Linked DNA regions of Coturnix japonica. The protein of the gene in region 1 purifies or fractionates together with the protein of each later gene. This does not show direct contact. Links are inferred from orthologs where the notes say so. Each region holds a gene or a part of one and is shown in the gene's direction. Other genes may lie near its edges.

What was found.
Region 2: the proteins of NCBP1 (region 1) and ALYREF purify together in Homo sapiens (affinity purification with western blotting; 6 studies listed by BioGRID and IntAct, with this or other methods). This does not show direct contact. The link is inferred for Coturnix japonica from reciprocal best matches to the Homo sapiens genes NCBP1 and ALYREF.
Region 3: the proteins of NCBP1 (region 1) and KPNA4 purify together in Homo sapiens (co-immunoprecipitation; 3 studies listed by BioGRID and IntAct, with this or other methods). This does not show direct contact. The link is inferred for Coturnix japonica from reciprocal best matches to the Homo sapiens genes NCBP1 and KPNA4.
Region 4: the proteins of NCBP1 (region 1) and EIF4G1 purify together in Homo sapiens (affinity purification with western blotting; 3 studies listed by BioGRID and IntAct, with this or other methods). This does not show direct contact. The link is inferred for Coturnix japonica from reciprocal best matches to the Homo sapiens genes NCBP1 and EIF4G1.
Region 5: the proteins of NCBP1 (region 1) and KPNA3 purify together in Homo sapiens (co-immunoprecipitation; 3 studies listed by BioGRID and IntAct, with this or other methods). This does not show direct contact. The link is inferred for Coturnix japonica from reciprocal best matches to the Homo sapiens genes NCBP1 and KPNA3.
Region 6: the proteins of NCBP1 (region 1) and THOC2 purify together in Homo sapiens (affinity purification with western blotting; 3 studies listed by BioGRID and IntAct, with this or other methods). This does not show direct contact. The link is inferred for Coturnix japonica from reciprocal best matches to the Homo sapiens genes NCBP1 and THOC2.
Region 7: the proteins of NCBP1 (region 1) and UPF1 purify together in Homo sapiens (co-immunoprecipitation; 3 studies listed by BioGRID and IntAct, with this or other methods). This does not show direct contact. The link is inferred for Coturnix japonica from reciprocal best matches to the Homo sapiens genes NCBP1 and UPF1.

The regions. Positions count from the first base shown.
Region 1 is NC_029547.1:62,558,727-62,562,609, reverse strand, and holds part of NCBP1 (nuclear cap-binding protein subunit 1), read left to right. Parts: intron 1-270; coding exon 271-373; intron 374-1,128; coding exon 1,129-1,222; intron 1,223-3,684; coding exon 3,685-3,788; intron 3,789-3,883. UniProt on the Homo sapiens protein: Component of the cap-binding complex (CBC), which binds cotranscriptionally to the 5'-cap of pre-mRNAs and is involved in various processes such as pre-mRNA splicing, translation regulation, nonsense-mediated mRNA decay, RNA-mediated gene silencing (RNAi) by microRNAs (miRNAs) and mRNA export.
Region 2 is NC_029533.1:4,445,187-4,449,859, forward strand, and holds the start of ALYREF (THO complex subunit 4), read left to right. Parts: upstream 1-1,622; 5' UTR 1,623-1,712; coding exon 1,713-1,943; intron 1,944-2,134; coding exon 2,135-2,266; intron 2,267-4,345; coding exon 4,346-4,493; intron 4,494-4,587; coding exon 4,588-4,651; intron 4,652-4,673. Other genes in the region: NPB (neuropeptide B), read right to left, coding at 319-447, 724-921; ANAPC11 (anaphase-promoting complex subunit 11), read right to left, coding at 1,063-1,208, 1,429-1,537. UniProt on the Homo sapiens protein: Functions as an mRNA export adapter; component of the transcription/export (TREX) complex which is thought to couple mRNA transcription, processing and nuclear export, and specifically associates with spliced mRNA and not with unspliced pre-mRNA.
Region 3 is NC_029524.1:19,641,814-19,646,495, forward strand, and holds the start of KPNA4 (importin subunit alpha-3), read left to right. Parts: upstream 1-1,528; 5' UTR 1,529-1,764; coding exon 1,765-1,833; intron 1,834-4,682. UniProt on the Homo sapiens protein: Functions in nuclear protein import as an adapter protein for nuclear receptor KPNB1. Binds specifically and directly to substrates containing either a simple or bipartite NLS motif.
Region 4 is NC_029524.1:13,924,868-13,928,750, forward strand, and holds part of EIF4G1 (eukaryotic translation initiation factor 4 gamma 1), read left to right. Parts: intron 1-165; coding exon 166-319; intron 320-405; coding exon 406-506; intron 507-588; coding exon 589-691; intron 692-809; coding exon 810-912; intron 913-1,570; coding exon 1,571-1,827; intron 1,828-1,919; coding exon 1,920-2,035; intron 2,036-2,176; coding exon 2,177-2,349; intron 2,350-2,477; coding exon 2,478-2,603; intron 2,604-2,686; coding exon 2,687-2,768; intron 2,769-2,937; coding exon 2,938-3,036; intron 3,037-3,128; coding exon 3,129-3,263; intron 3,264-3,342; coding exon 3,343-3,424; intron 3,425-3,493; coding exon 3,494-3,634; intron 3,635-3,735; coding exon 3,736-3,883.
Region 5 is NC_029516.1:151,466,290-151,470,172, reverse strand, and holds part of KPNA3 (importin subunit alpha-4), read left to right. Parts: intron 1-2,852; coding exon 2,853-2,984; intron 2,985-3,819; coding exon 3,820-3,883. UniProt on the Homo sapiens protein: Functions in nuclear protein import as an adapter protein for nuclear receptor KPNB1. Binds specifically and directly to substrates containing either a simple or bipartite NLS motif.
Region 6 is NC_029519.1:14,685,380-14,689,262, forward strand, and holds part of THOC2 (THO complex subunit 2), read left to right. Parts: intron 1-566; coding exon 567-695; intron 696-1,217; coding exon 1,218-1,349; intron 1,350-1,430; coding exon 1,431-1,615; intron 1,616-2,346; coding exon 2,347-2,531; intron 2,532-2,801; coding exon 2,802-2,904; intron 2,905-3,238; coding exon 3,239-3,675; intron 3,676-3,883. UniProt on the Homo sapiens protein: Component of the THO subcomplex of the TREX complex which is thought to couple mRNA transcription, processing and nuclear export, and which specifically associates with spliced mRNA and not with unspliced pre-mRNA.
Region 7 is NC_029543.1:2,812,355-2,816,842, reverse strand, and holds the start of UPF1 (regulator of nonsense transcripts 1), read left to right. Parts: upstream 1-1,449; 5' UTR 1,450-1,714; coding exon 1,715-1,939; intron 1,940-2,553; exon of another isoform or gene 2,554-2,763; intron 2,764-4,347; exon of another isoform or gene 4,348-4,488. UniProt on the Homo sapiens protein: RNA-dependent helicase required for nonsense-mediated decay (NMD) of aberrant mRNAs containing premature stop codons and modulates the expression level of normal mRNAs.

The DNA.
Region 1 (3,883 bases):
GTGTGCAGATAAGATGTCTTGAATGCTGGCTAATCTTCCATAGAAGATTCTCCCAAGATAGAAGCACACAGTGCCATGGCAAAATGGGAGTGTGATTATTCACAACATGGATAGTGCTTAGGAAAATAAATGTAAAATTGTTTGCCAGCTCCCTTCTCTGCCTTGCATGGCCTTATTGCCAAATCTTTGCCATGAAATGAGTTAAAACCATTGGTTATCTCTACTGCTTTATATGTAATACTTACAGTATCAACTTTAAATAATTTGCAGATGAAGGATTTACTTTCAATCCTTTGAAAATAGAAGTCTTTGTTCAGACTCTGCTCCATCTAGCTGCAAAGTCTTTCAGCCACTCCTTCAGCGCCCTGGCAAAGTAAGTGTAACATGTGCACTATTTGAGGGTTGACAGAGCTGTTTGGTTCTAATAATGAAGTGATGAAAAAAAAATTTAAAAAAAACAATTACCTGCAAGCTTCAGCAATGTTTTAGGTACTTCTCAATGCAGTAGGACTCTGAGAGCTAGTGGCACTTTTACTGAAGGAACAGAAATATTGTTAATGTTAAATGAAAGATATGGAGTTAACAGAAAGGTATATGTCATACTGAGTTTAATACTTTGTGCTTTGGAGATATTAAGTGTTTATGACCCAGGAAGGCAGTAGTCAGATGCACTTCAATGAATTACTTTTCTGTTCCTCAGTAAAAGTATGTGATTGATACAAAAACCTGTACATGGAAGCATTTTACAGGCATGCTTAAAATAAACTGCAGGTGCTAACCTGCAGTCAGTAGTATAAGAGGCAGGCCGAGGTGAGTACATTTTGCCCCAGCTGAGCATAGGTAAGCACAGGAAGCATTTCTGTGTGCCTTGTACTTCTAGGAATAGGACAAATACAATCCTCCTTCCAGGAGAAGATTCACCACTGAAATTTAAGCTACTTTTAGGAGTATATCTTTGTTAGTTCAAATGTTCCAATGGTTATATTTTCCTGTTAGGAGTTGTTCAGGAATTGCTGTATAAAGTCCCAAAACTTTCTTTTTTGGACAATCTCAGCCACTTAACTCATGTCAGATAGCCTTTTGACCTGAGCCCTGCTCCTCCACTGACTGATATACGTCTGTTAAAAGGTTTCATGAAGTCTTCAAAACACTTGCTGAAAGTGATGAGGGAAAACTCCATGTTCTGAGAGTTGTGTATGAGGTCTGGAAGAACCATCCACAGGTGAGGCGTTACAGTGTCAATCATTAGTTGAGTTTAAACTCTGAGGTCACGTTAAATAAAGCATTACAGTTTGCTTTTTATGTACTTTAAAACTTTCTTTGCCTTATATCAAGGAAAGTTCAAGTTCTGTTTGCCATTGCTAGAAGTGTTTAAAGTGAAGGTTGGAGATAAACTGCCATATAGTATATATTCTATTTCTCAGTGTTACTTTTGTGGGAGAGCAAAGGCTGTGTCATTCTAACTCGGGTTCATGCTGTGCTCTTTGTCATACAAGAGAACTTGTTTCTGTTCAAAACTGGAAAATGGTGTTGATGCTTAGAATTGAAATAGGATGTTGATCTTGTAACAAAAGCAGGCCAGATTCTTGGAAACGGGGAAACCTGGTTGGCCTTTAGGCTTTTTCCACTTGCTAGCAAAAGCTAAGCAGTTACTCCACAGAGATCAACCTGAAGTTGCTGTTGCATATGGGCAGAATGAGCAGAGCTGCAGTCAGTAACTGTTCAGAATGGAGCAGTCAGACTGCAGAGGCATGATTGCATTCATTCTTGAATCAGAGCACCCTGGAAAGCCTATGGAAAACACCTCAGCTATTTAAACAGTTATGTTTCTTCACAGCAGTTGTTTTCTCCCCCAGCTGTCATTCTTCTAAACATAGAAATAAAAATGAGGAGCTCACACTGAATTTGCCTGTGTTAACTCTGTGTTCCTTACTGATGCACTTGAGTTACATGGTACTGTATTAGAAAGGGGAGCATACCTCACGGCTGCATTGTACAGACATTAAGAAACAGTTCCACTGTGAACAGGGGATAATCCTTGCATCTGCTGCTAAATCTATGGTCTGTTTTCCATGTTTCCTAAAGGAAATTTAGTGCCTAAAAGACAAGTGGCACCTTGTATAGATATCCTTCAAGTCCACTTTTTAAGTGTGTGTGTTATATGTATATATATCAAAAACTAGTGTTTTTTTAAATATATTAGATTTCTTGCCCAAAATACTGACCTTGAAAATGTGATGATTACAATCTTGACCTCCTTTTACTTTAATTGGATCAGAAGAAATTACATTACCGCAGTCTAATGTCCATATTCTTTTCCTCTTTGTTCCTTTGTACTGCAGTATGACCAAGCTGTGGTGGAGGCTTTAAAGTCATAATGAACAGTTAGGTCAGATTTCTATGAATAAACTGAAACTGTGTTTAAAAGAATACCAAGTGCTGATGTTTTGAAGGCCTTGACCATGGAACCTAAATTTCCTTTCCTGTATGTACTGTAGTTGAGTCTTTTGCTGCTGCTCAGGTGCTGTCTTGTCTGTGTCCACAACATCTCTGGCACACTGGCACTAGTAGAGCCAGTTTCCTTGAAGGAAACTACTCCTGTTCACCCTACTCTGCTGTAAATGGGAACATCTTCTGGTGTCCTTTAAGCTGTCAGTGTATTGAGGGCCATGTTGCAAATGGTCATTTTGGTAGTCACTGGTCTAGTTTAGTGTGGTTGTGGTGGTGACTTCATAAGGAGAAGTTTTGACACCAAGATGAGATGTTTTCCCCAAAATCCTAAGCTTGTTCCTTGGAAGATCAGGGGAAGTAATCAGAGATTCTTCTTGGCATTGCAGGAAGACACACAGAGTATAAGATGCTATCCTGGGATGTGAAAGTTGAGTCCTGAGTCTTCTGTATGATTCATTTGGTTATTTTAACTTCCCTTCCTTAAAAGGAGCTTTGTTACACTTCCTTATGTGTCAGAGGGTCGTTGTGAGGATAAATGCATTGCAGGCTGTGGTTCTTAGACGTTGTGACATTCAAGCACATGAGTAACCAAGATAAGCCTTTTTTTCTGAACAGCTTGTAACTGCTTTAGTCTGCAGCTCTTCTCTGCAGTTTCCTTCTGGATTACTTGCAAAGCCCCTGGAATCATAGCACTACCTGCAACAAGCACTTCAATATTGGCTCTGTCCTAAAATGCAATAGTACCTGCAGGAAAGAGGTTACTGCCATATTTGAAAACTACTGCGTCTCAAGGAGAGTGTAGGCCAACAGCTGCTCTTTCTCTTTGGTGATGTGACAGTTGTGTATGCTCTGGTTTGAGTACCTTGATGTTCTATATTTGGAGCTGTGTCTGTGCTGCTTCACTTCCAGCCGTGATGCTTGTGTTTTTTGTTTTCAAAAGGTAGTTATGCTAATGAAGAACGATCTGTTACTTTCACAAGGAATAGAAGAAACTGTTAATCAAAATAAGAATGCTTGCTTTAGGTAGTTGATACTGATCCTTTAAGTAGCTTTAGGCTAGACAAACCAGATGTCATTTTTAGACAGCACTGGTTTTCTGAAGACTTTAAAATCACCCAGTAATACTGCTGTTGAGTTCATCAAACTGTTTCTGGTTTTATGCAAGGCTGGGGTACCTGGGCTGGCTTTTCTTATCTTGGTAGAAATGACAGTTTTGTCTTTCACAAAATACAGATGATCGCTGTGCTTGTGGACAAGATGATTCGGACACAAATCGTTGACTGTGCTGCAGTAGCAAACTGGATCTTCTCCTCGGAGCTTGCACATGATTTTACTAGGTAACATGTGAATTTGTCTCTGAATTAGTGTTTCAAGTGACCAATTTACAGCATAATCTATGAAAAGTAATGCAAGGAAAGGGTACACTTGACCT
Region 2 (4,673 bases), on another chromosome or scaffold:
TGCTCAGAGCTGGGCTGCTCCACGCACTGGAAGATCAATTTCAATGGATTCCTTCTCCCTGCACTGTTTTTTTTTCACCTTAAGCTCAGCAGTGGGGCCCCAAGCTGTGCTCCATCCCCCAGTGCCTGTGGCACTACCCAAACTCCCACCCATTCCAGAGGGCACACAGCTCTGGGTGGGCACTGCTGCTCAGGGCACCCCTGTGTGCCCCAGATCCTGGTGGGCTCCCCCCAACCCCAAAGGCTTCCCTCCCCTTAAGGACAGACAACATCTTTCCATTCCACGTGCATTTATTGTCACTATAGTCACCGTGCCACCTCAGGCCCCCCCACACTCTGTGGAGCCCAAGGACACGGTTACAGCCACACTGCACTGCAGAGCACCGGGGACTCCCGATAGCAGCCGACAGCTCCGTAGCTTGGGGTCCACATCCATCACACACGGCACCTGTGGGGAAAGTATCACAGAGATTCCTGGGTGGGAACTTTGGAGCAGGGCTGCCCGCGGAGCCGGGCAGGTGGGTGTTCCTGGTATCAGGGCATTGCTGGGATCTGGGCGTTGCTGGGATCAGGGCATTGCTGGGATCAGGGCATTGCTGGGATCAGGGCATTGCTGGGATCTGGGCATTGCTGGGATCAGGGCATTGCTGGAATCAGGGCATTGCTGGAATCAGGGCATTCCTGGTACCAGCCCGTTCCTGGAGCGGAGCATCCCGGTACTCACCGCGGTGCGGAGCGGAGCAGCGGCACCTCTGCTGTCGGAGCGGCGGCTGTAGGGCAGGCGGCGGAGACCGGAGAGCAGCCCCGAGGCTCTGCCCACCGGGTAGGAGAGCGGAGCGGCCGCCTGCCGGTACCAGGGCGCGGCGGGGCGGCACAGCAGCATCACGGCTACAGCCAGAGTCAGGCAGCGGGCGGCTCGCATCGTGCCGGCGGGGGCGCAGCGCTGCGGAACGGCCGCTCCGGGTCTTTATGGCCGCGGCCGCCCCCGCCGCGCAGCACGAGGGAAAGCGCCGCTCCCCGCCCACGGAACCGGGACCGGAGCGGCGGGAGGAGGCGGGGAGGATCATTCCTTGAACTTCCACTCCTGGCGGCACATGGGGCAGTGCTGCTGGACCTGCTGCGAGTGCAGCCACTTGAGGATGCAGTGCATGTGGAAACAGTGCGAGCACTGCCCCCACACCAGCGGGCAGTCGTCCCCGGGCACTTTGCCTGCGGCGTGGACACAAAGTCAGGAAGGGCCGGGTCGCACCGGACCGGGTACCATACCGGGTACAGTACCGGGTACGGGACCGGGTACCGGACCGGGTACGGGACCGGGTACCATACCGAGTACCATACCGGGTACCGGACCGGGTACCATACCGGGTACCATACCGAGTACCATACCCGGTACCGGACCGGGTACCGTGCCGGGCCCCGCCGCACTCACAGTCGGGGCAGCAGCCGTTGAAGGCCATGCGGCAGATCCCGCAGTTCTCGTCGTTCGCCACCCACAGCCACGAGGCGACTCCGCTCCAGCTCCGCACCTTCACCCTCATCGCCGCCGGAAGTGCCGCTCTCCGGTCCGCGCCGCCCCGCCGGAAGTACCGCCCGCCGCCCCCACGAGGCCCCGCCAATCTGAACGCGCGCCTCCGCCCGCCGGTCCCGCCTCTTCCGCTTCCGGCGTCGGCGCAGCGCGGCCGGAAGCGCAGGCCCCGGAGCGGAGCCGCCATCATGGCCGACAAGATGGACATGTCCCTGGACGATATCATTAAGCTCAACCGAAGCCAACGCGGCGGCGGTCGGGGCGGCGGCCGGGGAGGCCGGGGCCGAGGCGGCGTCACCCGCGGGGGCGGGCCCGGTCGGGGCGGCGTGGGAGCCGGGCGAGCGGGCGGCGGCCCCGTGAGGAACAGGCCGGTGATGGCCCGGGGCGGCGGCAGGAATCGGCCCGCGCCGTACAGCCGGGTACGGGACGGGGGCGGGGGCGGAGCCCGGTCGGCGGGGCCCGGAGGGAGGGGGCCGGTGTGCGGGGCGGGGGGCGGCGGTTCGTGGACGGGGCGGGGGCGGTGGGACGGGCGGCCCTTTGTCCGTTGCCGGCGGTCGAGCCGTCCCGGCGGGACCCGGCGGCGCTCAGCGAAACGTCCGTGTCGTTCCAGCCGAAGCAGCTCCCCGAGAAGTGGCAGCACGATCTGTTCGACAGCGGCTTCGGGGCCGGCGCCGGGGTGGAGACCGGCGGGAAGCTGCTCGTCTCCAACTTGGACTTCGGCGTCTCAGATGCGGATATCCAGGTACGGGCTCGGCGCTGTTCCCGGGGGGTTTCATTCATTCCATCGGTGCTGGGTGCTGGGGGTGGCCATAGAGCATTGCTGGCCCTGCTCCCATTGGAAGGGCCCTTCACACGGTGCCTGGCCCTTTGCTTCACGCACTGCTGGGGCTCTGAGCTGAGCAGTTGGAGTGGCTGGATTCAGAAGAGTCCCAGTCTTTATGGAGCTGTAGGTAATCACATATGAAATATCTCTACCACGATGCTGTGGGGGGGATGTTGCCTTCGCTCAGTCCTGCTGTGATTGCAGAGCTTAGCACAGGCTGTGTGAGCTTTTAAGGTCTGTGTAATTCCAGACGTTCAGTAGCTCTATATATACATCTATTGGCGCTGTTTTCATAGTACCTGTTTATGTACTTTTTGTTAAAGTTTTGTTCAGTCTCAAGGTGTTCTTATAGAAGCACCAGTGATATTGAGAAGTCTGGTCTGTGAGGGGGTACCTGCTCGCTCATGTTGTCATTTCCACAATTACCACATGTATCTTATGACAGATAAATGTTCTAGCTGAGTTACCAGCTGCAGCTCAATCCCTTGTTCCAGCTGTGCCCTGGGTGCAGGCTGTTTGCAGTCACTGTGCCTGTGACACAGCAGTCACAGCTGTGGGGCTGCTCTTACTTGTGGGCAACAAGTTGTGCAGAAACATCTGCAGATCCAAGGAGCATCCAATCTGAAGGGTTTTCCTGACTTAGTCACATTGCAAAGAGCTTTGGATGGTTTCTGGTCCTTGCATCTCCTCTAGAAAAAAATAACTAAATCACTTCTATGTTTTCTTCTGTTAATTCATTCCGGTTCAACCTGTCTGCATCAGGAGTATTGGAAGTGAGCTTTTTTAGGTCACCTAGTTATTGAGCGATGCACTTAAAACCACTGTTTTTTCCTCAAGTGAGTTTAGTTTCAGTTGATATACATTTCCTGTTTGCTGTAATCAGGCCCAAACGTGTAAAAGTGAATCTGTAAAGTTATCTCAATGTAAGGAATTAATGTGTTTTGTGTGGCAGTTGAATGTTTCCTTTTCACAGTTGGCTTGAACTGCAGGAGCAGACAAACATCTGTGTATATTATATGTAGCAGCAAAGCTGACTTAATGGGTTTGTACCTCTTTGTTACTGCCCATCCCGTAATTTTCCACTAAGCTGCACTGATTGTTTTCTTTGTTTCTGTGCTGATTGTGTCATTAATATGGTTCTGCTCAGCTCAGTGCTGAGGAATGAGGGGCTTGGTGGGAGCCTCGTTCACGTTGCTCTTGTAGGAGTATGTGTGGTGCTGTGGCTCCAGCTTCTCTGCAGGACAGGGATGTGATGGAGCACCTCTCCTCCCATGTGGTGCTGTCTTCCAGAAAGCTTGTTGGGTGCTGTATGTTCATGTTTAGTAAATGGACACAGTAGAGAAACTCACTGACAGGCTTGCATAAAGTGCAGCTGGCTTAAGAAGTGAAAATATTTATATGCTCCTTTCAAATGCTTGGATAGGAATTATAGAGATGGCTGGAATAGTGTTTGGGCTCTGCTGCAGGTGATATGGAAGGCAGCCTGTGGTGTCTGCTTTGGACACCTGACAATTCTGTGTGCTTCAAACATTTGAAGAGTGGGGTGTAGGTATAAACTTGCAAAGTAGTGAGATGTCCCCAGATGTACATCTTAGATGTAGCCTCTGTGAAACAAAATGGGTGGCTCCACTGTTGCAGCCTTCCATCGCTCGTGATGGTAAACGATGCTCTTCAGTAGAAGATTTCCTGCTTTCAGTTTATACAGACTGGCAATGTCCCTGGGAAGAGGAGCAGGTCAGCATACCTTGGGGCCACTTTGTTGGCTGTATACAAGCACCCTTCAAGTGGTGGATATGAAATCCTGTTTGTTTCTGCCACCTGTGGCTGCTTTCTGGAAGTCTTTAGTGGCCTGTGTTCCTTCTTTCACTGGTGCTATTTGCGTGGTGTCATGGAATGTACATGATATTGCTGAAAGCAGGAGCTGCCTGCACCTTCTCTGGGCTGCTCGGTGTTTGCAGAGCTGACTGAAGCATATTCACTTCTCCCTCTGTTTCTCAGGAACTCTTTGCGGAATTTGGGACCTTGAAGAAGGCAGCAGTGCACTACGACAGATCCGGACGCAGTCTAGGAACAGCAGATGTGCATTTTGAAAGGAAAGCAGATGCTCTGAAAGCTATGAAGCAGTACAATGGAGTCCCCTTGGATGGTGAGTCTCTGTGGCTGTCGTGTGCTTCTCTGCACGGCTGATGGCATCTGTGTGCCTGCCACACTCACAGGGTAACTGGCTGCTTTTCCTGCAGGGCGCCCCATGAACATTCAGCTGGTTACATCACAGATAGATACACAGAGGAGACCAGCACAGAGGTGAGAAGCCGCGGGAGTCGCT
Region 3 (4,682 bases), on another chromosome or scaffold:
AAAGACAAGGAAATGGTAACTAGGGGATAAAACTTTTCTTCCCTTTCATAAACTTCTGGGTCAGCCCTTAGACGCTGTGTGTTCCTCACCTTCATAGCCTGACTGCTTGTCATCTTAAGGCATGATCAGAAACCAGGGGAACAGAGCCCAGTTTCATTATTAGTGACCACATTCTACAGAGACGGAGCCTCAATTGTGCATTAATGTCCTGGTTCACAGAGAAAACACTTTGAGGATGCAACTTTATAGAAACCACTCTGCAAAAGTCCTTCCCTGGGACTCAGCAGCTGTTCCTCCATGGAAGGACATTACAACTAACCAGCACGTTCACGATAGTTCTGTAAGGCACCAAACAGCCTCTGAGACCAATGATTTCATGTCATTCTGTTACAGCAACTCTTCAATATCTGTACTTTAACTATTTTGCCAAGCTCCAAAGCAGTTTCACTTTTGAAAAGCCTTTATTTCCTTCTGTCTGCACGTAACTTCCTCAGCAGGAGTAAAATGTTAACTGCACAGATTAATCAGTCAAAATTCACAGTGCTTCACCTCTAGTTTTCACTTAAAATAATACTTAAGCTGTTAAACTTTTGTTTTTAGGTGTTCCTTCCTGGATTCTCTTCAAGCTCCATCCCTTCCAGGAGCACAGCTACATGTCTCTCACCTGTGCTCCCACAGCTGACCCGACACTTGGCTCAGCTCATTGATCAGAGGATCAGGCTGTGGTTATCAATATCCCATATAGACACGTAAAGAAAATATCTTCCTTGTATACCAGACTGCAACGCGCAGGAGTTACAGCTGTAGCTTCAAAAGATGGTTTATATATTGGTAAAACAACAAAAGATGGTTTATATATTGGTAAAACAACAAAAGATGGTTTATATATTGGTAAAACAACAAAANGTTTATATATTGGTAAAACAACAAAAGATGGTTTATATATTGGTAAAACAACAAAAGATGGTTTATATATTGGTAAAACAACAAAAGATGGTTTACATATTGGTAAGATGAGATATGCTGATATATTTATGGAGACTGAATATACCAGGCACTACCCTGAGCAGTAACTTTCTAACTTTCATTATTAGTTCAAGTTGTGTTTCTTTGCTGCTACAATACAAATTCAGGGAAGACTTTCTCCAACTGCCAACACTTTGTGCAGCACAGAGCTAATATTTTTGTCATTAATATTAATTATTATTATCCTGGCAGGCCACAAGGAGCTAACACACAGTGTATTACTACAAGCTCTGGGTGGTTTCATTGCGATTAAACAGCGATACCAGCCCCCCCCGCCCCGTGGCTCCGCTCAAGATGGCGGCTCCGAAGCTCCTGGAAGGGCTCCGTCCCCTCCCCCCCCTCCCCGTCACCTCACACGTCACGGCGCCGCTCAGCTCCCGCCCTCTCCCTCCTCGCTCCCATTGGCCGCCTGCCGCGGGCTGCTCGTCCAATGGTCGCGCTGTGCCGTGCGGCCCAGAGCGAGGCTGTGTGTCTCCCCTCCCCCCGCTCTGCCCGTCCCCGGCTCCGGCTCGTTCGGCGCCCGGCAGCGGCAGCGCCGCCCGCAGCCCGCACAGCGCGCACAGCCCGCACGGCCCCGGCAGCGCCCACGGCCCGCACGGCTCCTACGGCCCCTTCGGCCGCTGCCGAGAGCGGCCCGCGGTGGGTCGGAGCTACAGGGCCACGGGTCCGGGAGGAGAGAAAGGAGGAGGAGGAGGAGGCGGAGGAGCAGCCGCGCTCCCTCCCACCTTCCCCCCCGCCATGGCCGACAACGAGAAACTGGACAACCAGCGGCTGAAGAACTTCAAGAACAAAGGCCGTGACCTGGAGGTACCGCCCGGCGGGAGGGGCCGCCCGGCCATGGCGGCGGGAGGGACGGAGGGAGAGAAGGAGGGAGGGAGGGAGAGGGGGCCGCCGTGTGGCGTCTTTCCTAATCCGCCGCCGAGGGGCCCGCGTTGGGGCCTTGGCCTGCACCGCCCGCACGGCGAGGGAGGGCCGGGAGGAAGGGGAAGGGAACGGAACGGAAGGGAAGGGAAGGGAGAGGAAGGGAAGGGAAAGGAAGGGAAGGGAAGGGAGAGGCCGCGCTGCGCGCTCGGGTGCGGCCGTTGGGCTCCGCTGGGGGTGGAGGCGCTGAGGGGCAGCGCGGGGCTCCATGAACGCGCCGGGCCGGGCCGGGTCCCTGCGGGCGCTGCGCGACCAGGCGGCGCTGAGGCCCCGCGGCTCATCTCGGCCATGGAAAACATGAGTCAGGGCCGGGCCCGCGGAGAAAGCGGCTCCTCGGCTCCGCTTTGTACCAAACGTCGTTTTAAATCACTTCTTGTTGTTTCTTTCCCTATCCGGGGCACATATCGCTCTCGTAGCGCTGTGTGGAAGCAGTCGTGGGATCAGCGTGCCGTGCTGAACTTGTGGGTGGGTTCCTCCATCCCTGTGTGTGCTGCTCCGGGACTGAATTAATGGGGTTTTCTGCAGCAGATATGCAGATCCTGGTGCTCGGTATCAGTCTCGCCCATCACTCCCGGCCCTGGGGGAGGCTCTGTGTGCTGATGGCAGTGTGAGGCCGTGGTTGAGCTCAGGGCTCTGGCCTTCACATTCTCTTGATGTTTGGCCCCGCTGCGTGTCCCTATGGTTACAGTGACATGACATCCTGGGCCTTCTTGTGCATTGCTGAGTGCCCCGTTCATCCACATGAAAAGTAAAGGCTGCATTTATATCGCTGTCACTTGCGAAAGCATCACCCGTGTTTCCCACTCGAGGTATCACTGGCTCCTGTTGGATCAGGCAGTTTATTATGGAGTTACAACATCCAGTGGTGCCAAAAAGAGGTAGAAATGGGAACAATTGCCACAGTGACTGCGCTGTTGGTAAACAAAGATGTGTCCATGGCTCCTTGGCTCTGTTGGTAACTCCTGCCTCAGGTATTTTTTTGTGTATGAATGTTTTTTTATTGCTGAATAAAAAACTGCAAAAGGAGTGAAAGTTTGGGAGGACACTCAGGGAAATCTATGCTAACATTAAAATGAAAGCAGCAGCGGGGGGGATAAAAACAACACAGGAATTCATTGGGGTTTTCTGTCCTTTGGTGCCTCCATGCTGGGGGTTGAGGCAAGTCAGCTCCGTGCTCAGGAGCATCACGCCCAGTGTGTGTTATTGCAGGTGTTTGTGAATGAAGGAGCAGACAATCTCTGGTCCTTCTCTGAATTTGCTGATGCGTTTCAGTGTCCTGCGCAGTGAAAGCAGCACTCCCAGGCCGTGTTAAATTTGAGATACTGACATCTACCCAACGACTCTTGGAACTTACGTTTGCTGCCTAAAATAACCGCTGTGGATGGTTATTTTTCACACAATAGCTCAGGCTCCCAGCTCTGATTCTGATTTTCTCCCTGCTTACACGCTGTGTTTTGCGTTAGAGGTGAGGTATTGCCAGGCCCTCTCACAGCTCAGTATCCTGTGGTAGCAACAGTTGCTATTCAGCCGGTTCATGGCACGTGTGTTCCTGCCCGGCTTTAGCTGGAAAATGTCTATTTACTTCACACTGGCAGCCAGTGTTTGATCGTTATCTCTTCCCCTCATCTTGCCTCCTTCACTCCTCCCCCATTTAACCTCTGCTCAAACCGTGCTTTTACCCATCGGTTTTATACTCAGCACTCGGGATCTTTCTTTTCTATGACTGTTTGCCTCCATTTGCTGTACCAAACAAACCACCAGTTATGCTGGGTATTATTTTGGGGGATGCCGAGTTACTGGGCAGCTCTGGGGGTAGATGCAAAGTGCAGACTTGAAAAGAAAAGAAGGTTTTTGCTTATAGTCACTGGGCTGAGCATGGCGAGGTGTTGAATAGGAGCTGATGCTGTCTGTGTGTTCAGCTTCCAGCTGCAGGGAGGTGATTGTGCCTTGCAGATCACGGGGGATTTCCAGCGTTTTCAGAGCTGCTGAGTGTGTGTTTGACTCTTTGGATTCTTCACACTGGTTTTATTTTCACTTTCCAGGCTTTCTCAGTGGGCTTCTGAAGGCACAAGGGCTGCCCTTGAAGAAAGGAAAACAAAAAGACGCCTTTTACATAATGATATTTAGCATAATTCCTTCATGCACTGAAGTATTGGGTAAACATGCGTGCACGGGCATGTTACATTGTAAACAATTGCCGCCACGTGTTTTAAAATGACAGATGGGTGACAACAGTAGGAATAGAGGGGTTCATTGTGAGCAGGAACACAAAATGTTTGCTTGTTCTGCCTTTTATTTGTAGTGCTGGATAAAGGAATCGTAGAAGGCTGATGATACTCGGTATCTGAGGGTCCTGTGGCAGGAGAGATCAGTCTGCAGCCAGCACGCAGGCAGGAGCTCTGTAGCAGTGAACATTGCAACTTACACACACATGGAGCTGTGCAGCTCTTCTAGGGCTGGAGTGTCAGCACCAGAAAGGAGGAATTGCACTTTAGTGGCTTGGAGGAGGTGGCCTTACAGAGCTACAGGAGCAGCCACTTACATCAAAAACCCCATCCATACTTCAGTGAGTGCTTAGCGAGTTGTGCACTTGGTAATTACTTGGAAAGTCAGCTATGGTAGCTTTGACTTTTTTTCCACACTTCTTCAATGAGAAACAGGTTTTGCTTGGCCTTCATTTTATTCTTTTCCCTTGCATAAAAGAGGATGAGTTGTTTTATTTTCCAGCATTTGTT
Region 4 (3,883 bases), on another chromosome or scaffold:
GGGAGCTCCTGAAATGGAGCCCTTTTGTGCCAAAAGCTGCCACAGCACACAGGGAGCTGAGGTGGGTGGGCCTTGGGGACTGGACAGATTGGAAGGGGGAAATGTCGCTGCCTCCGTCCTCCAGCTGTCTGAGTACCCCATGCCCTGCTCCTCTGCCCTCTGCAGAATAGCTGGGTGCCACGGCGAGGAGATCAGGGCCCCAAAACCATCGACCAGATCCACAAAGAGGCAGAGATGGAGGAGCATCGGGAACACATCAAAGTGCAGCAGCTCATGTCAAAAGACAAAAGGAGAGGACCTCCTGGACCATCCATCAGTGGTGAGTGACTTAGGACCACCAGATACTGGTTACCCTATCACTGCTTGAGGTAGGGCTGTGCCTGACTTCTGTCCCCTTGTGACCAGGTGGACGCAGCAGCCTGGTTGCAGATGATGGCTGGAACACTGTGCCCATCAGCAAGGGCAACCGGCCTATCGACACTAGCCGGCTAACGAAAATCACCAAGGTGAGGCTGGGGAGAACATTGGGCTGCCTTGCCCCACAGTCTTGGTGCAGGGCTCGGAGCTGACTCTGTTCTCTGCCTTCAGCCTGGATTGATCGACTCCAACAACCAGCTCTTTGCGCCAGGCGGGCGTCTGAGCTGGGGCAAAGGCAGTAGTGGAGGGTCTGGTGCAAAGCCTGCAGATTCAGGTAGGTGGCATGGGGCCGGCTTGTTGGTGCCACTGAATGGGAATGGGAACCCTTTCTCCCAGTGGTTCCTGTACTGGGGATATGCCGAACTCTGAGGCTCCCCTCTTTTCACGCCCAGCATCTGATTCAGGGCGACCGGCCACAAGCACCTTGAATCGCTTCTCAGCACTCCAACAGTCCACCCCTGCCGAGAGTTCAGAGTCCCGTCGCGTGGTGCAGAGGTGAGTGTGCTGCACCTGGTGGGCTGGGGAACATTCCCTAGATTGGGCAGTGGTCGGTTGGTGTGTGGGTAAATGGAATCTGATGTCCAGGCTGGAGTCATTCTCTGTGGCAGGATGGGTCTGTGGGCATGGGCTTGGTATGGCATCATTGCATTCTTGTGGGAAAGGCAGTCCCTGTTCTGAGCTGCACAAGCCCCATTACCACCAGAAATGGGAAGGCAGATCTTTCTGCTGTAGCTTGGCACTTTGGAGGACAACATCTGGGTGCTGTGTGCAGTCTGGGGCTACCAGGAATAGACATCCAGGGATGGGCCCGGGGGTTTCTTACAAAGACCACTGGGGGTAGCTGGAGCTGAAGTGCAAGATCCCAGACACTTGAATTTGTTCAGTCAGGAGAAGGAATAAGCCTACTGCAGCAAGGGGTGGTGTGGGGAGAATGGAGGCCGACTGCCCTCAGCGTTGCTGAAGGTCAGAGCAAAGGATGGCAGTGGGGCTTTGGACCAGGGAGTGTTCCCATGAGGGAAGAGTAGTAGAGGAGGAACTGGAGAGGGCTGAGAATTGAAGTAGGACAGCGTTGCCTTGCGTAACTGTGCAGAATTTGGGGTCAGAGGAGTGTAGCAATGGACTTTTTCACACTGTTCTTCCTCCTTCCACCCAGGAGCAGTTCCAGCCGCGACAGGTCAGAAAAGGCTGGAGACAGAGGGGACCGGGAGTCACGTTCAGAGAAGAGCAGCGACCGTCTGGAGCGTCCCGATCGGGGTGAGCGGGGAGAGAGGAACAGGTCTGCTGTCACCAAGAGGAGCTTCAGCAAAGAGACAGAGGACAGGAGTAGAGAACGGGAAAAGCAGAGTGGCCCTGAGGCTGTGCGCAAAACTGCTAGTATGTCAGAGGAACGGGACAGGAGCCGAGAGACAAGTGAGTTGGGGAGGAGAGGTGTCCTTGGAGTCTGGCTGTGGGCTGAGGCTCTGCTGGTCCCAAGCGGCGCCTGATCCTTCTGCTCTTCTCAGTTAAACAAGAGCCAGCACCTCCTGCGGCATCGCCCAAACCCATGCTGTCAGAGGAGGAGCTGGAGAAGAAATCTAAGGCGATCATAGAGGAATATCTGCACATCAATGATATGAAGGTGAGAAGAGGAGGTGGCCAGGCACCCGCAGGATGTCATCTGCTTCTCCAGGCAGCACTGCTGCTGGACAGGTTGCTGGCAGTGCCAGGATGAGGAGCAGGGGCTGGCTATGGGGCAGCACTGACCCTTCTGTCCCCACAGGAGGCCCTGCAGTGTGTGCAGGAGCTGGGCAGCCCCTCCTTGCTCTACGTCTTCGTGCGGAATGGCATTGAGTCCACGCTTGAGCGGAGCACGATCTCCCGCGAGCACATGGGGATCCTGCTGTGCCACCTGGTGAAGGCTGGCACGCTCTCCAAGGAGCAGTACTATAAAGGGTGAGGGGCTGAGGCAGCTTGTCCCCAAAGCATCATTTGACCTGCTTTTGAATTCAACTCTCCCAAAGCTCCTCCCAGCTGAGGGCGCAGGAATTACTTGATCCCAATACCCCCTTTCTGCCCTCCAGGCTGCGGGAGATCCTGGAGATTGCGGAAGACATGGAGATTGATATCCCGCACATCTGGCTGTATCTCGCCGAGCTCATAACACCTATCCTGCAAGAGGAAGGCATCCCAATGGAGGAGCTGTTCAGGTAGGGGCTGTACTCCTTTTCAGGGCTGCTGTGGGGTCCTGGTAGGGGCAAGTGGTGACAACTATGTTGCTTGTGCCCCACAGGGAGATAACAAAGCCCCTGGTGCCCCTTGGGAAGGCCACCACACTGCTGGTCGAGGTGCTGGGCTTATTGTGCAAGGGCATGGTAAGTGCATGCTGCTCGCATAGTTGCCAGGGGCTGGCTCATGGAAGGGGTTGAACCCTTTTGCATACAGAGAGGATGATGGTGGGCAATGCCTCTTGCTGTAACTGGGGCAGCTGGCTGCAGGATGGGGAGCAGTGGCACTGAGGGCTGACTTGAGGTTTTCTTGCAGAGCCAGAAGACTGCGGGCAAGCTGTGGCGAGATGGGGGCCTGAGCTGGAAGGAATTCCTGCCTGAGGACCAGGATGTCAACAAATTCGTCACAGAACAGGTGAGAGCTGGACTGTGGCTCCCAGACCCTGCTGCTGGGAGCAGCTTTCCCCTACATAGCATTTAACAGATTATCTCTCTTGTGTCCCCCAGAAATTGGAGTACACGATGGGAGACAACTCGGACACGCCAAGCTGCAAGGAGCTGACCTCGGAGGAGCTGTGCAAGCAAATGGACAAACTGCTGAAGGAGAACTCGAACAACCAAAGAATATATGACTGGATTGAGGTGAGGGTGAGGGCAGAACGCCTGCAAGGCATCCTCCTTGCTCAATTCACATCTCATAACCCTTCCCTCCTTCCTTCAGGCCAACCTAAGTGAGCAGCAGGTCTCGTCCAACACATTTATCAGGGCCCTGATGACATCTGTGTGCCATTCAGCCATCATCTGTGAGTACTGGGGGGAGGTGGGGGCCTGGTAAGCCCTTGCAGCCCCCTCTCACACCTACTCTCCTGCAGTTGAGAACCCGTACCGTGTGGATGCCCTGGTGATCCGCAACCGGGCCAAGCTGCTGCAGAAGTACATGCGGGATGAGCAGAAGGAGCTTCAGGCACTCTACGCCTTGCAGGCTTTGGTGGTGAAGTTGGACCAGCCTCCAAGTGAGTGTCACGCACAGGGATGGATGATGTAGGGAGTTTTGGGGGTGGCAGGTGTGTCCTTGCTAACAGAGGGTGTCTGTTTTCCCTTCTGTTCCACACAGACCTGCTTCGGATGTTCTTCGATGCTCTCTATGATGAGGACGTCATCAAGGAGGAGGCTTTCTACAAGTGGGAGTCCAGCAAGGACCCAGCCGAGCAGCAGGGCAAAGGGGTGGCCCTGAAATCAGTGACAGCATTTTTCACCTGGCT
Region 5 (3,883 bases), on another chromosome or scaffold:
ACTAAAACTAATGTAATCGTGGTCATTCAGAGCAGGAGAAAGGAATTACCATTTCTGACATATATTTTCTAAAAGTCTTTACACTAGAAACTGCACTTTTCAAAAATCCTGTTTTACAGAGTTGTGCCCTGGAAGTTTGGGATTTTGAGATTTACTGTTGGCCTTAATTTAATTTTGCCCCAATTTGTTATTTTGTGTAGATAATAAGGCTTAAATTTTGCTTAGTCCTTTTTTTGGCCAGGATCTGGTCTCTATGATCCTTTGTGGGTCTCTTCCAACTCAGGCTATTCACTCTGATATGTAATGTATAATTCTGTGTATCAGTCCAGTCAAATACTGTGATCTTACGGATAAATCTAACTTCTGTAACCTGTTGGATGCCTGAATTTGCAAGCTGTTTGACTGAGAAAATCACATAGGAAAATGTATTTACATATATTAATATTTAACTATTAAAAGTATTTAAATATCCATGCTCCTGCGCCATGGTTTTTGCATACAGTTTCAAAGTCCTAGAGAGTGGTCTGACCTCCTGAGGTCTTATATTGTAACTTTGGGAAACAAGATCTGTACACCTGAGGGATAACTGAGATGCTTTTCTGCTCTGCTTCCTATCAGCACTTTGTAATGTCTTGAATTGTTGCTCCCTGTAGCAGCACCACAATTTAAGGAAGCAGAAATTGAACACCTTGGTAGGTCTGTGGACAGGGCATGAGATTGGTGGAAATGCCTTAGGTTATTTCTTTGATAAAGTAGTGGTGTTTCTGCTGCTCTTTTACTGGTGTAGTCATTCCACAAATATTTGCAGTTTAATTTGGGATTTTGCCAGGGTTATCCCAGTGTAATGTGAGTGGGAGACAGCACATGATGACTTTACAGTCCATAATTTGGACAAACCAAAAATACTTCTAGCCTACAGGCTTCGGTTGTTTTTTGTTGCTGTTGTTTTGGTTTGGGTTTGTTGTTTTTTTTTTCCTGGCAAATTTGAAAGCTTTTTGCAAGAAATGATTTTGTGAGGGTTTCTTAAATGATATGTGGAATTACGTGGTGCCAGGTTTTGACTGGTCTCAATGAGTCCTGAGAGTCAGGTGCTGGCTGGAAATACCAGTATGGTCCCAGCCTCTCAGTACTGGAGCAGCAAACCTCTCTTTGGTGATGAGTTAGTGATGCAGGTGGGTCAGCAGGCAGTCCTGTAAGCTGCTGCTCTCATCATCACCAGGGCTGTGGGGCAGGAAACTGGTGAGGCACCATCTCTCACTGCTTCTGCTGTGATGCTGCCTCCACTGCAGCACGTTCTGCTGTCCCTGTGGCATCAGCAGGTGTGAGCAGCAGCAGGCTGCATCAGGAGAGCAGTAAGTACATGCAGTCTGCTCTCTGGAGGTGGGTGGAAGCCACCCACCATAGGCTTATGGGGCAGGCCCTTCTCACACCTTTAGTACTAATTAGCTGTCTTAATAGCTGGAAATTTTGAATGGCTCTGTTTGAAAAGTAGAGTGCAGATGCCTTTACCTAAATAGCAGGTGAGGTTTCTTTCAGTTAAGCTGTCAGAGAGATGAAGCTGGCTCACAGATCTCTGGGTATGCCACATTGAGCCATTCTCATCTGATGCTTCCTTAAATCTCAGTGAGCTGGGCCACTTTTTTGCTCACCATGAGACACTCTGGGCACAAACTCTGCCTACGAAGCCTTCAAACACTGCTTCAGACCATCTAACCTGAGAACATAAGTAAGATGCTTGGATTTAGAGCCTATTGCTCTAACCTCTTTCTAGTGAATCAGATGAGAGCCCTATCCAAAAGGTCGTTCGGTTCACAGAATAGAACAGATGTCTTAGCACACAGAATATTAACTGGCAGAGTAGGCTTACTGTGCTCTTAATTTAGACACTTCACTTAGGTGCAATGAGTTCAGGCTTTAGTCTTAAAATTCCGGAGAGTAATTGCTTTGCTTTAGTTAGCATGAGAAATTGACTTAGAAATGCCCTCAGGAGCATCCAGGCTTCTCTTCCTGCAGTTCTTAACATCATCTCCAAGTGACAGGACATTACCTCTTTTTCTGCTAGTTTTGGTTCTGCTTCAAACCCTACCTTTAAAATAACTAACTTTTGTACCTTTCCTTTTTTTTTCTTTCGGAGGGCTCTCAAATCATCCATACCAAATCACCAGTGACTTCACTGTTATTTTCTTTAAGTGTGTCCTGTGTGATAGTCATTTCCTTGTGTTTATTCCCTTCTCTTGAACAGTTGCCACCTTAAAATAAGTGTTAGTCATTTAGCTGGTATAAGAAAGTTCTTTCCTTTGCTGTAGATTTAAATCTCAATATGAAGGATAGTTTGTAGTTTAACTCCATACTGCACAGTGGATCAAAGGCACTAAAGTGTAGCTAGATGACTTTAAAGTCTAAGGACATTTAACTTATGTATTCAGAAGATAGTACATCTAACAGATGAGGGCAGGGCCAAGAAGTTGAGTCACTGTTGTCTTCAGAAAGTTACTAGCTCAGTTACTTCACTGAGCCACTCATCTGCCTCCAAAGTGCAAATCAAAGCCAACAATTTACCTTTGTCAGGTGATGTGTGCTGTAACTGTGCACCAAAATGCGTCAATTAAAAGGAAGAGGATGTAGAACTTATTATCACTGAACAAATGGCCCCAATTTTCATAGTTGTATGTAATAATCCAACATTTAATGCATAAGGTTGCATTGAAATATTTGAGTTTTTCCTGTAACTAAATTGTAAGGTTTTTTTTTTTTTACCCAGACATGTGGAAAATTATTGCTAAATTAAGATTCAGTGTTATGAATTTTGCTATTTAGTGTTTAAATGATGTTACGTTCTTTCCAACTTTCAGATACTTGTGGACACCGTTTGGGCTTTGTCCTACTTAACAGACGGTGGCAACGAGCAGATACAGATGGTGATTGATTCAGGAGTTGTACCTTTTCTAGTTCCCCTTCTGAGTCATCAGGAGGTCAAAGTTCAAGTAAGTCTGCCTCAGTTTCCTTGCATAGTCCTTTGTAACCTGTTTGCTTATAAATTACACCTTGGAGTATTTACTACTGGGGTTCTGAAATGACCATTGTACTACAGCCTTTTAGAATGTTAATATCTTTGAGTATTTTTAGTGAATTCCCAGTTTTCCACATAAGGCAGGTTCATTGATTTTTAACACAAAGGGAAGCTTTAAGTTAGTTAATGAGTGCTTGGTTTTTATAAATGAACCGTTGGACTGTGGAAGCTTCTGCGTGTATCTGTGCGTTTGCCATATTTGTTTAGTTTGGACTTTGGATGAGGGTTGCCTGGCTCAAATTTTGTCAGACCAGTTCAGTTGATGGAAAGGAGTCTCTCCAGTTTTCAATCACCCACAAAACGTTTATTAATTCCTAAGGGTATAATGCACATGTTTGAAAGTCAACTGAGAGTAAATAAGAATATAAGTAGTCTTTTTTTCTTTATTCTGCAATAGAGACCTGAATTAAAAGGCACACAACAGCCATAGTCAAGGCCTAGATATGTTGGTTGTAATTCAGATCAGATACATGATGAGTTATTTCTTTTGTTATCCTAATCTCTTTTTAGTTTCTAATCTTTAAACTTCAGGATTTGATCTGCAGCGTGCTTTATAGTAAAATACTGGACTCTGTGTTTCTGTTTGGATGAAACAGTGCCTGCTTTAGAGTGTAGCTCAGAAGCTGTAGTGCTAAACACTCTTCTGCAGTGTTTTTGTAGAGAAGCTTTAAATTATCTTTATTTTAACATAAGTAACAGCAACGTTTTTAACGCACAGTTTTTTTTCTCTTCCCACTTCGCATGTTCAGACAGCAGCGCTGAGAGCAGTAGGCAACATAGTAACTGGTACCGATGAACAGACACAAGTTGTTC
Region 6 (3,883 bases), on another chromosome or scaffold:
TATGGTTGCAACAAATTTGTGTGGGGCTTCATTATGAAAACTATAGTGAAGAGTTTTTGTTTTTTGCATGAACATTTGACTAAAAGTTGTCAGGTTACCTTTGAGACTTTTGAAGTAGGGATCTGCTCTGATTTCATTGGTCCAAAAGAGTGGTTTTACTCAGAGATACAGTTTGTGTTCTGTGTGTTTATTTCTGCCTACTCAAATCAATTTATCAATTTAGAGCCCAAACAGTTATATTCCAATGGAGATGCACCTCGCCTATGGAAGGCTGTGTCAGAGGCAGATGTATGCAGCAGCTGGAGTCTTGGCTCAGATCTAGTAATTGGATAACAAAGTCCTGAAAACAAACAGGATATTCGCTAAGAAGCTTTAGCAGACAAGACCTCCTTTTTTTTCCTGTTTCTCTGTGTAAATCTAATTTGGTTTCTAAATATTTCTGTAATCTTCTCTGAATTTAAAAACCATAGCAACGGTAGTTTAGGTGAGAACAATTTGAAATTGTTGATAATCCTTGTTTGTAATTCATTGAAGTTAAAGTAACTTTTTACTGCTGCCATTCACAGGTTTTCTCTGATATTATATATACAGTAGCAAGTTGTACTGAAAATGAAGCTAGTAGATATGGCAGGTTTTTATGCTGTATGCTGGAGACCGTGACTAGATGGCACAGTGACAGAGTCATATATGAGAAGGTATGTGAAGCTATTAAAACTTGTTTGTTCATGAAGAGTTATATAATGACTTCTTGTATAATACACCCCAGTAAAACCGGATTCACTGAAATCATTAACTTGATTTAAAATGTTGTCGTTTGATTTTTATTTTTTTTTCCAATGGCCTTATGTTAGGATGGGGATTTTGTAATCAGTGTGTTTTTAACAGAGTTAATTTTGCATAGCGCCAAAAGGAAAAGAAATGAATTTTGATTTTCTCATAGTTTTTCTTGAAGATTTAGGTAGCATATGGAGACTCCTTGCAAAAACTAGTTAAATTGCAAATAATCCTTTTCCTCACCCACAAGAAAGGCTTCAACATAAATAAGCTTTAAAAAAGAAAAAAGAGGATATAAGTCTTACAGAATCTGTCTTAGTCTGTATGCCAGGAAGTGCTTTGATTATATTAACTATTACAACATTCTTGGTTTTTTTTTAATGTATCCTGGAAAATATTTGTATTTTAAATAGTAAATTTTTATTTATCTTGTGCACACATAGGAATGTGGCAACTATCCAGGTTTCCTAACTATATTACGAGCAACTGGATTTGATGGTGGAAATAAAGCTGATCAATTGGATTATGAGAATTTTAGACACGTGGTACACAAATGGCACTATAAGTTAACTAAGGTAATTAAAGATGCTGAAAAATGCAATTCTTTTTTTGAATCTTTAATGAAAAGGATTGATGAGTTTTAATTTGTGTTCTAGGCTTCTGTACACTGCCTTGAAACTGGTGAATATACACATATCAGAAATATCCTGATTGTGCTGACCAAAATCCTTCCATGGTATCCAAAAGTGTTGAACCTGGGCCAAGCCTTGGAAAGAAGAGTACATAAGATATGTCAGGAAGAGAAAGAGAAGAGACCTGATCTATATGCATTGGCTATGGGGTAACAACACCTTACTTTAAGAAAGTGGTTAAAAGTGGATCATGAAAGGCTTCTAAAGACTTGGAACTCTTACAGTCCTAACATATTTGATTTTTACCTTATCACAGAAGATTTCACTATCCCGCATCTCAGGGCTGGCATTGTGAATGAAAACTTTCATGTCGTGCTGGATGAATACTAATTTCATTTTCAAGACTCTAGTAAAATGCATTTAATAGTAAAGATTTTCACTCACAAGAGCATAGCTGCGTTATAGAGAGATAGTATAACAGCAGATAGATACAAGGGGGAGTAAAGTGGAGAAAGCCAAGGGCTATTGTTGCAAGATTGCATAATTTGGAAGATAATAGAGTTCTAAAATGCTTGATTAAGTTTTTCATATGCCTAAGTGCAGAATCATCTATGGATATTTGAGTGGTAGTTAAGGTTGTGCTAATAGTGGGCTATTTTTTTGTGTGTTTGGCAGGAGTGTGTGTGTGTGATGGTGGTAACAGCAAAGAGGGCTTTGAGGTAGGGCTGCTTCTGTTGTGTGAGGTTTTATTTTTGTTTGTTCTTTTAATTTTTTTTCCTTTTTTTACTTTGAGTTGAATGATAAAGGGGGAAGAAACTGCATATCAGTTGGGAAAAACTGTGAAAAGTAACAGACGGAACTGTTAGATTAAGTCCTCATTTAAAATTCAACCCATATTTTGCTTTGTTTGTGCATATTTAACAATCTGTGCGACTTGCAGCTATTCTGGGCAGTTGAAAAGTAGGAAGCCTTTTATGATACCTGAAAATGAATTCCACCACAAAGACCCACCTGCCAGGAATGCTGTAGCTGCAACAGTACAAAATGGGCCAGGTGGTGCTGGGATGCCTACATCTCTCACAATAAATACAGCGAAACTGGAGGAAAGCTCTGCTGAAGAGACTGGTAAACAAACTTGATTCTTAGTTGAATGATATTTACAAGCTACTGTCTCAAAACTTGTTAAATTGAAAAGAAAAAAATCTCTGTGAGCTTAATGTCTGTGCATTATATGTTCTTTGTGTTGTTGGTGGTTGATTTTTGCAGGAGTGTAGTCTGTGTTTACCTCTTTAACTACTAGTTAAATGTAGTTTTGCATGAATTTGTGTTGGGATACTTGTTTTTATTATTGAGACGTATGTTATTGTAATTAAGTTGTTTTCTTTCTTTAAACAGATAAACTAAAGGAGAAGTCTCAGGGTACTGTGAAAGTCATTAATAAAACTGTCAACACTACACCAAAGGTGACAACAAGCAATGGAAACAGTGCTTCTAATAGGTGAGAAATCTACTCCTTCCTTGATATGCTCTATTGTCTTCTTTGAAATTGACCTACCTTTTCAGTCCTTTCATGTGCTGTTTAACTTTTTCCCATTACATCAGATTTTTGCCAAAATATATAGCTGTTCTAAGCTGATGCATGTATAAAATACATTCTGTTTTAGTTAAGTAATGAAAAACAAGATAGTACTCTTGTTGATGTTCTGTTGAAGTGACAGCAAAATAATCTGGCAGTGAATGATTGAAGAAGTTCTATCAAATCGGGAGTAAGACTTGCCTATAACGCAAGCTAGTTTTTTGTCTGCTAATTGGCCTTTTTGTTTTTGATGCAGCAAAATTATTAAAGAGAAAGATGATAAAGAAAAAAGTGGGAAGGAAAAAGAGAAAGAAAAGAAAGAAAAGATTCCAGCTACCACTCCAGAGACGAAGGCACTTGGGAAGGATGGGAAAGATAAACCAAAGGAAGAACGGGCAAACAAAGATGATAAGCCAAGAGAGATTAAGGAGAAAACACCGAAATCTGACAAAGAGAAGGAGAAGGCCAAGAAAGAAGAAAAAGCTTCAAAGGAAGAAAAATCCAAGACAATTGTTACAACCATTGAGTCAAAGTCAGTTGCAGAAAAGGAGAGAGAAAAGGAGCCATCCAGAGAAAAAGATGTAGCAAAGGATATGAAATCCAAGGAAAATACTAAAGGAGGAGAAAAGATTCCAGTAGCTGGGTCCTTGAAGTCTCCTGTTCCCCGATCAGAAGCATCAGAATGTGAGAGGGGTAAGTCTGTTCTGAAAAATAAAGGAAGCTACACAGACAGTAATAACATGTTGTTAGAAAATCACTGAATACCAATACATGCAACGCCCTAGCCCTGTTGAAGAGAAGGGCTAGCTATTATGTAGTTATGACTTTTTCGTGCCTGAAGTAGATATTCAGGATATCTCCAAAATGAGAAGTGTGTGAATGTATAGTTTGTCTTTTCAGT
Region 7 (4,488 bases), on another chromosome or scaffold:
ACAATCTTCAAAGCAGATCCCATTTTCAAATAAGACTTCCTGTTTATTCAGATATGCTTCTCTCTGAATTACAAACCAGATCATTTCTGGTTTTAAGGAAATATCAATTCAGTTCACCTGTGGATGCTTTATAGTCACACTACAAGTGGGTTTAATGTAGCTGTGATTCAACTTCAGGAATCAAAAGTCTCAATGTACTGTATGAAATTATATATGGGTGTACACTTACTTACCTTGATGCCACCACATTAAATTGTAGCTGATTTGACAGTTGTAAATTTACAACCAAATTTATTTTTTCTTGTTTTTTTTTTTTGCTTAATTAACCTACTTTAATGAATTAAGATACATCTATGATTACCTACTGCTAAGTCTGTTCCTTCATAGCTTCAAGCTCAACGTGAACACAAACCATATGGAAGTAGATGCAGTGAGTCCTGTATTCTCTCCATCTTTGTTTCCCCCTCCTGTACTCAGAGCATTGAAATCTTTCCCAATCCTCATTTCAATCTTTTCAGCTTCAAAGCTTTAAATGTGGCAGATGTTGTTTCCATTCCAAGCTTTACCCTGCAACAAAAGCAAGAACAGAATTAAAGTCACTTAAAAAACCAACGTTCACGTGCATGTTATGGCTGAAGGTTTCAATAGAGAAAACACAACAATATTTTCTCTATTTTCAATATATTTGCAATATTTTCAATATTGTTTTCTCTATTTTTTTATTGTTTTTCTCTATTTTCAATAGAGAAAATAGCTTCTCCTATCAGCACTTCTCACAACACCTGGGTGTTACCTTAAAAGACATGAGTGTGATGCTAATTGAATTGATGCTAATTGAAGTACATTGAGGGCATATAAAGCCCAAATGAGCACTTTATTTACGGCCTGACCATATACTGCTCATACCCACACAACACAGGGAGCCTCACAGGCCGCCCTGCTCCCATTCAGCCCCCAAGTACCACAGCCACGCAGGGCAGCTTAGATACGATGGATATTACAGCTGGAGCAGGTGTTTCTATAACACCAGAGCCTTCTTAATCACCTGCTTCAGAACATTACAGTATACCTCCCCACCACAGACACAACACCTCGCTGCCACAGCAGATCTGAGGTAGATCTTAAGGCTGCCACCGCAGCCCGCCCTTCTCCTCAGCTCGAGGGCTCATTGGCTGAATCAGCAGTCAATCATCAATCAGGCCCCGCCCCCTCTCGGTAGAGCCCATTTTGTAGTGGGGGGGGGTGCAACCCCTCCTTTAGGCTCGAACTGACAGCGCCCGCACCGCGTCCTCCCCTCAATCCCCCCCCACACTTCAGGTGGTTCGCTCCCCTCTTCGCGCCTTCCGCGCGTAGCCCCGCCCCCTCACGCCGTGCCCTCCCAGGTGTGTGCGTGCTGCGTCACCCGCCCACGCGCACGGGGCGTGCTGGCGTCCGCTGCGCGCTCCGCGTCACCGCTCCTGGCCTGGCCTGGCGCGCGGTGCGGCCGGACGGTTCCTCTCTCAGCTCCTCCGGGGACTCTCGGTTCCCTCCTTCGGCTCCTTCCTCCCGTCGACTCGGAGCCGCCCGAACGGGGCGTCGGGGGATTCTTTAAAGGCCGGTTTTCCGGGGTGCGGCCTAGTGCTCGCGGCTGATCCCGCCGCTGTCGTAGCGCGGCGCCCGGGCTCCGTGAGGCGCGGCCCGGCCCGAAGCGCCGCTTCTCTTCTCTACCGCCGCCATGAGCGTGGAAGCGTACGGCCCCAGCTCGCAGACCCTCACCTTCCTGGATACGGAGGAGGCCGAGCTGCTCGGTGCCGACACTCAAGGATCCGAGTTCGAATTCACCGACTTCACCCTCCCCAGCCAAACTCAAACCCCGCCCGGAGCCGGGCAGGCGGGGCCCGGCCAGGCCCAAGGAGCTCCGGGAGCGGGGCAGGGCCCTGCAGGCCCCATCGAGGCCCAGGTGAGGCCGAGCCGCGGGGTGAGGGGGGGGAGCGGGGTGGGGTGAGGCGGTGCCGCCACCGGGGGGAGCGCGGAAGGGGCGGGCGGGTGTGGGGCCGAGCGGGGAAACACTGGGCGGGAGGCGGAAGGAGGCGGCGGGGCCTACGGTTAAATGTCGTGATAGTGTCGTGATAGTCGCGATATCGCCGTGCATATCCCGATAGTCGCGATATGGAGCGAGGAGCGCTGCCCAGGAGGGAGGATTTGGGTTTGTTTTCTTGTTTGAGTTACGAGGTGTTGAATGTTGTGAAAACGGAGCGTTCCTTCCCAAGAGATCCTTCTTGCCTTTTTGCCACCGGTTGCCAGGCGGCTTTGTTTGTTGGGGTTGTAGGGCAGTGACAGCCCATAGCGCCCCATTGGTGTTGGTTGGTGTGCGGAGCTGGTCGAGGCTGAGAAATAGGAGTATTCTTAACGCTGCCTGATGAGGGCCGCGTTTCTGGTTTAAAAAGTTCCCAGATGCGGAAGGAAAGAGGGAACTGGGGCCGTGCAGCCAGAAACCAAGAAGTGTTGTAAAAGGAAACGCTGCTTGATTGACTAAAGCAAGAAAAAAGAAGCCCAAAAACACCTGAGAGGCTGTTTTGTGCTCTGTTTAGAGCTGGACTGCTTTTGTATATCTTAGGATATATTGTTATATTAAGTGATCTCAGCGTTAACAATTGTTTGTAAATTGCGTTCCAGGATGTGCCTTTAGAGGAGTTGAAGTGCTGTAGATCAAAGCTCTTCATCCTGCTTCAAAAACACTTGGGGGGGGATTCAGTTCTTTAACTTCATTTTTCCAAGGCTGATCTGTAAATGACACAGAAATGAGCAAACTTAGAGCAGTGAATGGCTGGCAGCCTTCAGGTGTGCAGTGCAGGTGGGCCCAGATATGGTGCTGTGTTGGAACTCCCTTTAGGGCAGTGTTCATGGTGTGGAATTAGAGCTGAGCTCCCGTGGGCTGTTTGCTTTGTTGTGTGTTGACTTGTAGCTCTGTTGGGGCAAAACAGCCCTTTTTCCCGTTTGAATTGCAGTTGTTAAGCGGTTTGTTTGTAGTCAGTGTTATGTGTTAATTGATTAAAAAGATATTAGGATTGAAATCCTAGTTTTTAAAGCTCTGATCATTCCAGAACTCTCAGTATAGAGGTGCCTAGACAGAAGAGGAAGAAAAACCACCCCAAAATGAGTCTATGAGTGTAAAAGATGAGGCCAGAGGATTGCTTCTCTTTTTGTCTAAACATGTTTGAAAAGCCTTTGAAGTAAGAAGGGGAAAAAGGAAGATGTGGGGAGCACATCCAGGTATGAGCGTGTCTGTAAGCATCCGTCCTGGCAGGCAGGAAGCAGAGGATGTTGGTAATGGCTGGGAATGGCTGAGTGCTTTTAGTTCAGGGCAGAGTTTTGCAGTTATCCCCATACTCTCTGAATTTGGGATGGGGGAAGCTGTTCCAACAAGGACTCAGGAGCACAGTGAGTGTGATGTTGGAGCTCATTGTAACCCAACAGCCCCTGCTCTGTTTGGACCTTTGCTTTTCAATGTTCTCATCAGCACTGAGATCAGAAATAGACCATTTGAAGGATTCTCAGGGAGGTTTTACTACCTTGAATAGATGATGTGAGCTCGTTAATGCCTTTTGGAAGGAACACGGCTAAATTTAAGCCTCACAGGTTGCATACGTTTTTGCCTAGCTTAAGTTTTTACTGTGATTGTGAGTAAATCTTATCCTGATAAACATTGAAGGGATATTAACTCCCGTTCCATTTTCTGATGCCTTTTTTGTACCCTGTGGACTGAAATAAGATGAGTTGAGCAGTGCAGATCCCTTCATTTCTTCAGAAAATGGGGTTCATTGAACGTTGAAAGCTTTGTTCCTCAGCATATTCTTAACTAATAGCTTAAGAGGATGCTGTTAGCACAGATTAGTGCCTGAGTGACAAAAGGCAGGCAGAGGTTAAGCAGTGCAGGAGCAGCGCCTGCTGTTTTCTATAAGCAATGGAAATACAGTTTTCTGATGATTAAGACAAGCTAATTAGCATATTTGATTTGGATTAAGATAAATTCTGATCGTTTCCACGGCGTTTCCCTGCTCCCTCAGGCCAGGACTCAGCTCTGGTAAGGAGGAGGAAGCACATTCTCCCATGCTCTTGCTGTGAGTCCATTTGGTGGCTGCCCTGAGCATGGGGAACCGTTGTGAAACAGCTCAGTCTGTGCTGCTGTGAGGCTGGATGCTCTCAGTAACGCGCCTTCCCTTGTTTTGAAAGGCAGATCAAACAAGCACAGCATATTATAAGGCGCTGCGAATGTTACACAGCTTTAGAGGAGTCTCTACAAGCAACAAATAGTTAGCTATGCAAATCCAGAAGTGCCTGTTTTTCTAAAGCATGAGAAAAACTTACCTGAGCTGGGTGTCCTGTGTGTGCTGAGCAGTGCTGGGGTGCAGTGCCACAACTGAGTGCTGTGTTGTATAGCAAGATCCTGGCTGAATCCTTGCCTAGCTGTCATCGTTTCTTTTGCTGCAGCCTGACAGCTTTAAAGTA